Callithrix jacchus: one gene and its partner. The protein of the gene in region 2 interacts with the protein of the main gene of each other region in a pairwise test. Links are inferred from orthologs where the notes say so. Each region holds a gene or a part of one and is shown on either strand. Other genes may lie near its edges.

Evidence for each region. The genes of interacting proteins can lie anywhere in the genome.
Region 1: the proteins of SIAH1 (region 2) and KHDRBS3 interact in a two-hybrid assay, tested with the Homo sapiens proteins (3 studies listed by BioGRID and IntAct). The link is inferred for Callithrix jacchus from reciprocal best matches to the Homo sapiens genes SIAH1 and KHDRBS3.

Annotation. Positions count from the first base shown.
Region 1 is NC_133517.1:61,926,207-61,930,463, forward strand, and holds the start of KHDRBS3 (KH domain-containing, RNA-binding, signal transduction-associated protein 3), read right to left. Parts: upstream 2,809-4,257; 5' UTR 2,762-2,808; coding exon of another isoform or gene 2,674-2,761; intron 1,875-2,673; exon of another isoform or gene 1,724-1,874; coding exon of another isoform or gene 1,717-1,723; exon of another isoform or gene 191-1,716; intron 1-190. UniProt on the Homo sapiens protein: RNA-binding protein that plays a role in the regulation of alternative splicing and influences mRNA splice site selection and exon inclusion. Binds preferentially to the 5'-[AU]UAAA-3' motif in vitro.
Region 2 is NC_133521.1:6,077,591-6,081,577, forward strand, and holds the start of SIAH1 (E3 ubiquitin-protein ligase SIAH1), read right to left. Parts: upstream 2,804-3,987; 5' UTR 2,342-2,803; coding exon of another isoform or gene 2,251-2,341; 5' UTR 2,171-2,250; coding exon of another isoform or gene 2,140-2,170; 5' UTR 2,072-2,139; coding exon 1,891-2,071; intron 1-1,890. UniProt on the Homo sapiens protein: E3 ubiquitin-protein ligase that mediates ubiquitination and subsequent proteasomal degradation of target proteins.

The sequences.
Region 1 (4,257 bases), on a different chromosome or scaffold from region 2:
TGAAGAGTTTTAAGTTAGCAAATGAGAAGTATTTCGTTCCAACTTTTTGGGAAGGCAGAATAAGAAAGAGCAATGGCTTCGGAGATAGACGACCTGAGAATTCAAATTAAATCTCAGTTGTCCACAAGCTTAGATAGCTGGGATCCTCAACTCCCTCCCTGAAAAATGAAGACACGAACATCTTCCTTACCGGGATGCACGTGTGAGGATGAAACCAGCGCCTTGGAAACTTTAAAATGTTATGCAAACTTAAGGCCTTATTAGAGTTCAGAGATACCATAAAATCTATCTATCACATGGCACGCTAAGGTTTGCAGGGCTGACCCACGCTACGATTTAGTGCCGAAACAGCAACTCCAATGTGACTAACTGCTGAAAACATAGTTGCATTAGAGGCAAACACAAATATAACTCAAAAAAAAAAAAAGCTTTCATATAGCCAATGATAAGATGGTCAGATTTAAAAATCAAAGCTTCCTCACAATCACGTAATGTCAGACTCAAGACACTTGTAATCTTGGAGTTACATAACAAAGCATAATTAATATTTAAAATGATAAAGCTTTGCATTCTGAATATCAGCCTGTGATTTACGAGAAAAATGTTTCAGTCTTAAGTAATCTAAATCAACAGTAAGACAAGCATCTGAGCAGCACCTCCTCTTTCCTTCACCTCCTCTTTTCCTTCCTCACATATGAGAACTATATTCTTACAAGAATTACTTTTATGAAAAGTAAGGTTATCGAGTTTAACACCTTAAAAAAAACTAAATGGCAACATTTTCCCAATAAATATCTGTTTCAAGTAACTAGAAGCAATTAACAGTAGTAAAAACACAGAATCCAAAAAATTCTGGATGTTTTAGCAACACAATACTATGGCAACATGGCAGAGAAAATAATTCTGACTTTTAAAATAAGATAACACACTGTACTTTTAGTTTAACTGTTCCTTAATTGAGTACAACCTAACTTTGATTCAGCTTCATTTGGAAAAATGCACTTGAGTTCACACTCGAGAATATTTCCAATGCCATGCACGGATCTCATGCAACGTACAAAGAAATTTCTTTCACAGAGATGACAGCCCAGCAGGCAATAAAAGATACATGTAAATCATCAGGCACAAGGAGTACCAACTCAACTGCAGAACTGTTCAGAGGGCACACAAATCAAACTTAAATTCTCTTCCTTGATTTAGGAATGCATGCCCATTACTTTTTCACGAGTCCATTTTATTAAAGAAATAAAAATAAGCCTGCCATTAAAATAAAATGGGGGAGCTCCATAAGCCTATTTCTGTTCAACAATTCAAACATTCTTAAATTCTTGGAGACAGTAAGAGTCTCTCCACCTCCATCGGTGGACCGCGCACACACACCCTACTCTGAAGAACTGGCTGAAACAGGCAAATACTGGAGGTCACTGTTTTAAAATATAGGTTTCTATATACAAATAGAATATGTCTGCCTCATCTTTCACTTCCAACAATAAAGGAGCCACGGCGAGCATTAAGAGCAGTAGCCCTTATTCATCAAGGGAACTACAGACTTTCAGTGCCCAGTAATTCATGCAAAAGGTAACAGATCTGACCAGATTACGTTGCTGCCATTTCCCAGAGAAAAGGCAGACCAGTGGCCCCCACACCCATCTTCATCTGAAACACGTATTCCAGGAAGGGTAGAACACTGCTCCTGGGAAGGAAGGCTTAATTTACCGGGCATCCCAGCGGATGATTCAGGAAGCCACAGGAGGAGAAAGCCAGGGGAACAGGGTCCCGGGTAGGCGTGCCTCCAGAAACCCCCGTATCCCTGTCCTGCGGTACTTCCCAGGACCTTTCACACCCTGAGCTGGCTGGAGTCGAGTGAAAATGGCAAAGACTCCTTCCTCACCGCTCCGAACCTCAAGCCCGCCACCAATGAGGGTCACCCAACCCGACGCCCCCAGGAAGGGTGCTCTTTTGCCGGCCTCTTCTCCCCTCCTGACTTCTCCAAGGGCCAGCCTGCAAGGCTTGGCATGGGCTGCTCACCCCTGGGGAGGGCTGGCTGCCCCGCCAGGGCTGCTGGTGCCTGGACACAGGAGAGACAAAGGGCTGGGAGGGGGAATTGGGCTCCTCCCCGGGACCACCGAGCTCTTCTCCTCTCAGGTGCTGGGGTCTGACCCCAACCCTCTTCCAAGGTCCCCAAACTTTGCTAACAATCCAAGCACCTGTTCCCTTCGCCTCTTCTGCATTTGAGCCCCGCAAGTCCTTCCATTTTCCTCCAGCTTTTTCTCCAGTGCCTTAGACAAACCAAACACCCTACTTCCCCAAGTCCATCACGCTCCCCTTCCACGAGATAATTCAACCTTGTCCCCAACAAAGCCCCCAATGGTCACTGTCCCCCACCCAGAAGTTTCCCCTGGGTGTCCCCGAGTCTCCAAAGATTTCCTTCAAGTCTCACTCATGAACCCCAGCCTTCTCCGTCCTTTCCAAGCCCCCCAAATTCACATCTGGGTCTTGCCCCAGGTGTCCCACAGCCTCCCAGGTCCCCGCGCAAACGCCCCCGGGGGCCGCCCGGGCCTCCGTCTCCGCCTCGTCCGCTGACAGCAGCCGGCACGGCGGCGCCCCCCGGACCCCGCATTTCCACCCGGCCCCCAACCGCCGCGGGCAGGCAGTTAACGGTCGGCGCCTCACCTTGGTTCACCAGGCGCAGGGCGTGCGTAAAGGAGGGGTCCAGGGAGTCCTTCTCCGCCATCAGCTCAGGCAGGTACTTCTCCTCCATGCTCGCCGGCCGCCGGGCCCGGGACGCGGACTCCAGGCGCACGGGCGGCAGCGCCCGGCAACCCCCGACCCCGCCCGCGCCCCCTGCGGCGCGGACCCGGGGGCCAGAGGCGGCGGCGGCGGCCAAGCCGGGCGGTCGGCTGGGAGGCGGCGGCGGCGGCGGCTGCGGCCCGGGGGCGGGAACCGGCCGCTCAGCCCCTATCCCCGGTGGCCGCCGAGTGCCCAGCGCCGGCGATCCCCGCGCTCTGGTCGCGGGCGGAGGACGAGCGGGAGCGGGCGGCGCGGTTAGGAGAGCCTTCGGGCCGGGCAGGTAACGTGCTCCGCGACCCCGAGGCAGTCCACGGCGAGCCCCGCCAGCCCCGCCAGCCCCGCCAGCCCCCGCCAAAACCAAAGCCACAACCGCGACCTGCACGCCGCGCGCCGCCCAGCGCACTCTGAGCCGCGGCTCCTGGAGCCCCGCGCCTGCCGCCAGCCCCGCCCCTCCCGGCTCCGCCCCACCCCGCCCGCCCCACGCCCCACGCCCCGCCCCCGCCCCGCCGCGCCTGCGCACGGCGCCCACTCGTGAGGACGCTCCCGGCTGCGAGCCCGCCGCGACTAGCGAGGCGCTTGCGAGGAGGGGCGCGTCTAAGGGCCCCTCCCCCGCGCCCAGCGCCCACCTTTGGCCCTGAGGGTCGAGTGGGGAGCCCCACGACGCTCTTACAGCCTTCCAGAGGCACGGGCTGGGAAACTGGGGCTCAGAGAGGTCAAGTGGCTTGCCCAAGGTCACCCAGCGAGTGATCTGGGAAGAAGGTACAAGGGCCGAGCTGGGAAGGGCGCCCGAGTTCGCCCCAACCGCGCTCTGCGGAATGGTAGAGGGACCGCCCGCCCTGCTCTCTAAAGCTCCCTGGACTTCTCTAAGTTATGTCGCGTTGCTGTCCCCTCGTATTTACCAAAGAGTAAGTCAGGGGCGCCGTCCTTTCTCCGCGCCTGAGCTCAGAGCGCCAACCTCCTGAGACCCTGCAGCTCAGAGGTCGGTTACGTAAAAGCGCGTGCCCTTCTGGGCGTCTTTGTCATCCCGACTTGCTCCTTGGTTGCCATTCTCGTAGGTCATAAACCGGCTGTGCCTGGACGCAGATGAGTGAGCCGCGTCTGGGCTCATCCGCTCCCGGGGAGAGGCCCTGGGACGCCCCGCCTGCCGGTGGCAATGCCCTCTGTCCCCTTCCACCCACCCCCAACCCCCAGCAAATGCTCTCCCAGCCCATTTCAGATTTCCCGAGGCGTGTGGAATAAACGTCCCCCAGGAGGCCAAGGACTCCAGTCCTTGTCCTGCCATGTTTCCTGCCTTTTAACACCCAGCTCAAGTTCCGGCCTCAATGTCACCTTCCCTGGCAGCCTCTCAGGACCTCCCTGGCAAAGCCACTCACTTCTCGGTGTCTCCCCAGCTTGGTCAGAGGTCATTCACAAACAGCTGTAATTCTGTTTTCCGTGGGCCATGAGCGTCTCGGGGACAGAGCTTGA
Region 2 (3,987 bases):
CACTCTGTAACCACAGAATCTGCATCTGAGGACTTCACCAGCCATGGATTGAAAACATTCAGAAAAATTTTAAAATAATACAAAATTTTTAAAATAAAACATATATAACTATTTACCAGCCATGGATTGAAAATATTCAGAAAAATTTTAAAATAATACAAAATTTTTAAAATAAAACATATATAACAACTATTTACCTATTATTTACATTGTATTAAGTGTAAGTAATCCAGAGATAAATTATACAGGAGAATATGCACAGGTTATATACAAATATGATAACATGTTCTATCAGAGACTTGAACATCCTCAGGTTTTGGTATGGGGAAGGGGATCCTGGAACTAATCTTCCGAGGATACCACGGGATGAGTGTAGTTCAAATGCCTTCCATTAACTCTTCTTAATGGTGAGCAGTTACCTACTCTAGAGGTGTAATTTAGGAATGAGGGGAGGGATCACAAGGGGAAAGATCTGCTGCCATCCCCTTTATCTATCAATCTGCCCCCCAAATTATCATCAGCCAGGTATTGATCTTCTTTCCTACTGATCAGTGCCCACCTCAAGAGTGAGGGGATGTACTCTCTAGTGAAGGTAGCAAAAATATAAAAATAAATAAAAACACAGCAAAAGTGAAGGGAGACGTGGGAGAAATGGAGAGCCATCTCAAATAAAACTTTTTGGTGTCGTAGAGAAAGCATATCTTTCTCTATTTGCAATCCACAATATAAATCAGACATAATGAACAAAGAAGGAGAGTCAGGGAGAAACTGAACAGGGGAAGAATACAGATAGCACGGCAGAGACACACCACACTGGGAGTGGGGGATGGAGTCAACAGGTGTAGAACCCCTTAGCCTAGGGTTCTCCAGCGTTGTTTAAACATTCATCAGCAGACTAATCAACATTATTTGACAGATAAATGTCATCTGGAAGAAATGATCGACAATGTAACTAGTCAGGCTGAGTCAAAGATAAAACAAGTAACTCATCCCAAAGAGCTCCCTGGGCTGGGATATAGGAGGCCACTATTTGTCTTGGGGGTGAAAAAATAGATCGGTCGATGTCCTAAGAATACACTCCTAGTAACTATACTAAGCCATATTCTTACAAAGTTAAAGCCTTAAAGTTAATGTTTTATCTCAATTATAGTCATTATTCTGTTGCAAGAAACTTTTGAGAAACAATGTTAGTTACCAATATGACCAAGTAAATGCAACTTGGGTTCTAGATTACTCAGGTGGTTACCAACTGATACCTTAAATGAAGGCTGAGGGTGAAGGAAAAATAAAGATTAATTCCACATCACTAAAGATATATTTTAAAGTTCAAGAGGCAACAAAAGTGACAATTCCATCATAATGTGTCTCATCATATAGACTCAGATCATGAATCAACTCTCATCTGAAGCCCTGTGTAACCCAGGTGTTCTGTACCCTGACAAAAGGACTGTAAAGGAACTCTCCTGTAATCCGGTTTCCCTGAGTGGATTCTTTGTACATACGATGATCCATACATTTTATGTCACTTGTAAAACAGTGGGCTCAGCATTGCCAAAACATCCTGGCTGTATGCTGTATGCCTACTGCATGGTCCAGTTTATGCTGCTTACTGAATTAACAGCATAACAATTAGAAAGTGTTTCCTTGGGCACAAAACAGTCTAGGCAACCAATACCTTTCAAATTACCAAACCAAACCAGAGAATCACATCCAAGGGCAGTAAACTCAGTTTATATTTAACACAACACAGCTACAGACCAATCAAAACATTATTTTTCAATTTCTTGACCTAGCAGTAGTTATACATTTATCATCAACAGTTCAGGCTCACATTACAATATATCTTTATCATTTTCCAAACACTGTAATAAAGCAGATTTTAACTCTTACTCAAAGTGTGAAAACCGAAATGGGAACAGGATTTCTTGTAAATGGAGGTATACAGGACAGCAACTGCTAAAGCCTCTCCAAGCTCCAAAGGTGCTACCCAGCTCCATCTTGAAACAGAAAAGGAATCCCAACCACACAGCCGCCCTGCAGTAGGAACCAAGGACAGCCCTGCAGAAGTCATGACGTAACCTGAAGTTTGATTTAAACAGAAAAAAAGCACAACAGCCCAAATGAAACATGACTGCTAACCTAGGAAACAGCTCGATTCTGCTGCAGCCATTCCGTAAGCCAGGCAGGTTCCACTGACTAACAGCGTTCAAGTTTCACAGCCTCAGCAACCCATCCTGTTAATGTCAATACCTTTTCTCTTCCTTGTCCTAGTCGCCGGTAAACATGTGAACAAGACTCCCCTCCAGGAGTAAAGAGAAGGTGGAATAGGCTTTCCCGTCATGAGAACTCAGGCAGCTCACTGCCTTTTCCAAGAAGTAAAGGTACAGGACCCTCCTGGGCACTTTCTGCTCCTAAACACAAAAGACCCAAATTGGCGTCTGAGGTCAGGATCCAAATATCGTTTCACTTCTCAGAAGCACCAGTTACAGAGGTGGAGAAAGAAAGCCTTTCCATCCCCAGGAGGCAACCACACCTCCCCGTGAGCTCAAATTCGGCTGCATCTCCGAAAATGGGAGCCACAGCTGCGCTGTCCTCCACCATGCCCTAAGCCTTCGTCTGTCTCCCAAGTTTGTCTTCTCCAGATTCACTGGGTAGGCTCCTGCTCGGCTCTGGTGGAGGGGTGACCCGCTGGCTGAGAAGGAAGTACGCTCCCTGAGCCAGCTCAGGGGCTACTGCAGGAGCCCGCCTGCCGGGAGAGCCATTTGGAGCCTCGGCCAGCTGGGGATGGGCCTGCGCCGGGAACGCCCGCTCCAACCAGGAGAGCCAAGGGCCAGTCCAGGGCGCGCAGCGTGCAGGGCGGTGCCCGTCTCGCTCGCGCAGAGGTGGGGCCGTGCCCGCAAGCCCCGCCCCACAACCCAGGGCGGGGCCGCGGGACCCCGCAGCTCTGACCCCGTGCCACCCCGCCATGGACCCCACCCCGCCATGGACCGCATACCACCGCACCCCAGCGACATCGAGCCTTCCTCAGCATTTCCACCAGTTTAAAGTTAGGTGGAACCATGCCGTTTTCGGTGTGTCAGAACAGTCTCATATCAGGAGTTTCTTACGGTTTCAATCTAAGAGCTACAGCGTATCTTGAAATGCGTGGCCACACTGGCGCTCCGCTCTACGTTTATCCGAACTCTAAAATTTTGGAGTGAAAACATTCTCCCTAATTCATTCAACAGCTATTTACTGGCATCAACTACTAATTTCCTCAATTCTAGCTCACTTCACTTCTCCTATCGGTAATGTATTTTAAATTCCCCTTCCCCGCTGCGAAAACACTTTGCAGGAAAAGTAGTAAGCATACTTCTGCCACATTAAACTCCTACTTAAACCTCCTAAGAGAGTATACTCTCTTCCCACTCTGGGAAAGCCATCTTAAATGGCCTCATTAAACGCAGAGTAGCTTGTTTTGTTTTTAAACAAGCATTACCCTTGCCCCAATAAAGTCCTGGGCCTCAGATTTGCATTGCATCAGCTAGTGCGTGCAGAGGTTTAACCTGTCATTACATCATGCTTAGGGCAGCCTCTAAATGCAGCAAGAGCTGGCAGAGAGGAATCAACCCAATGTAGGGAATTGCAGATTACCCACTTTCAGCAAGAAATTTTAACTCTAACCACTTCCTCACTCTATTAACAGTGTGTTCAATCACCTCAACCTCATTTTACAATATAGGCTACACAAAAGAGTATTAGGAAAAGAAATATGATTGAAAATAAATACAGTCTACCCCACAGACAAGTTTTTTGTTTTGTTGTTGTTGTTTTTGAGACAGGGTCTCACTCTTGCCCAGGTCTGAGTGCAGTGGCACAATCTCCACTCACTGCAGCCTCGGTCTTTTGGGCTCAAGCAATCCCCTCCCACCTGAATCTCCCCAATCACTAGGCACCACCGTCTTCGGCTAATTTTCTTTATATTTTTGGTAAAGACAGGGATTCCCC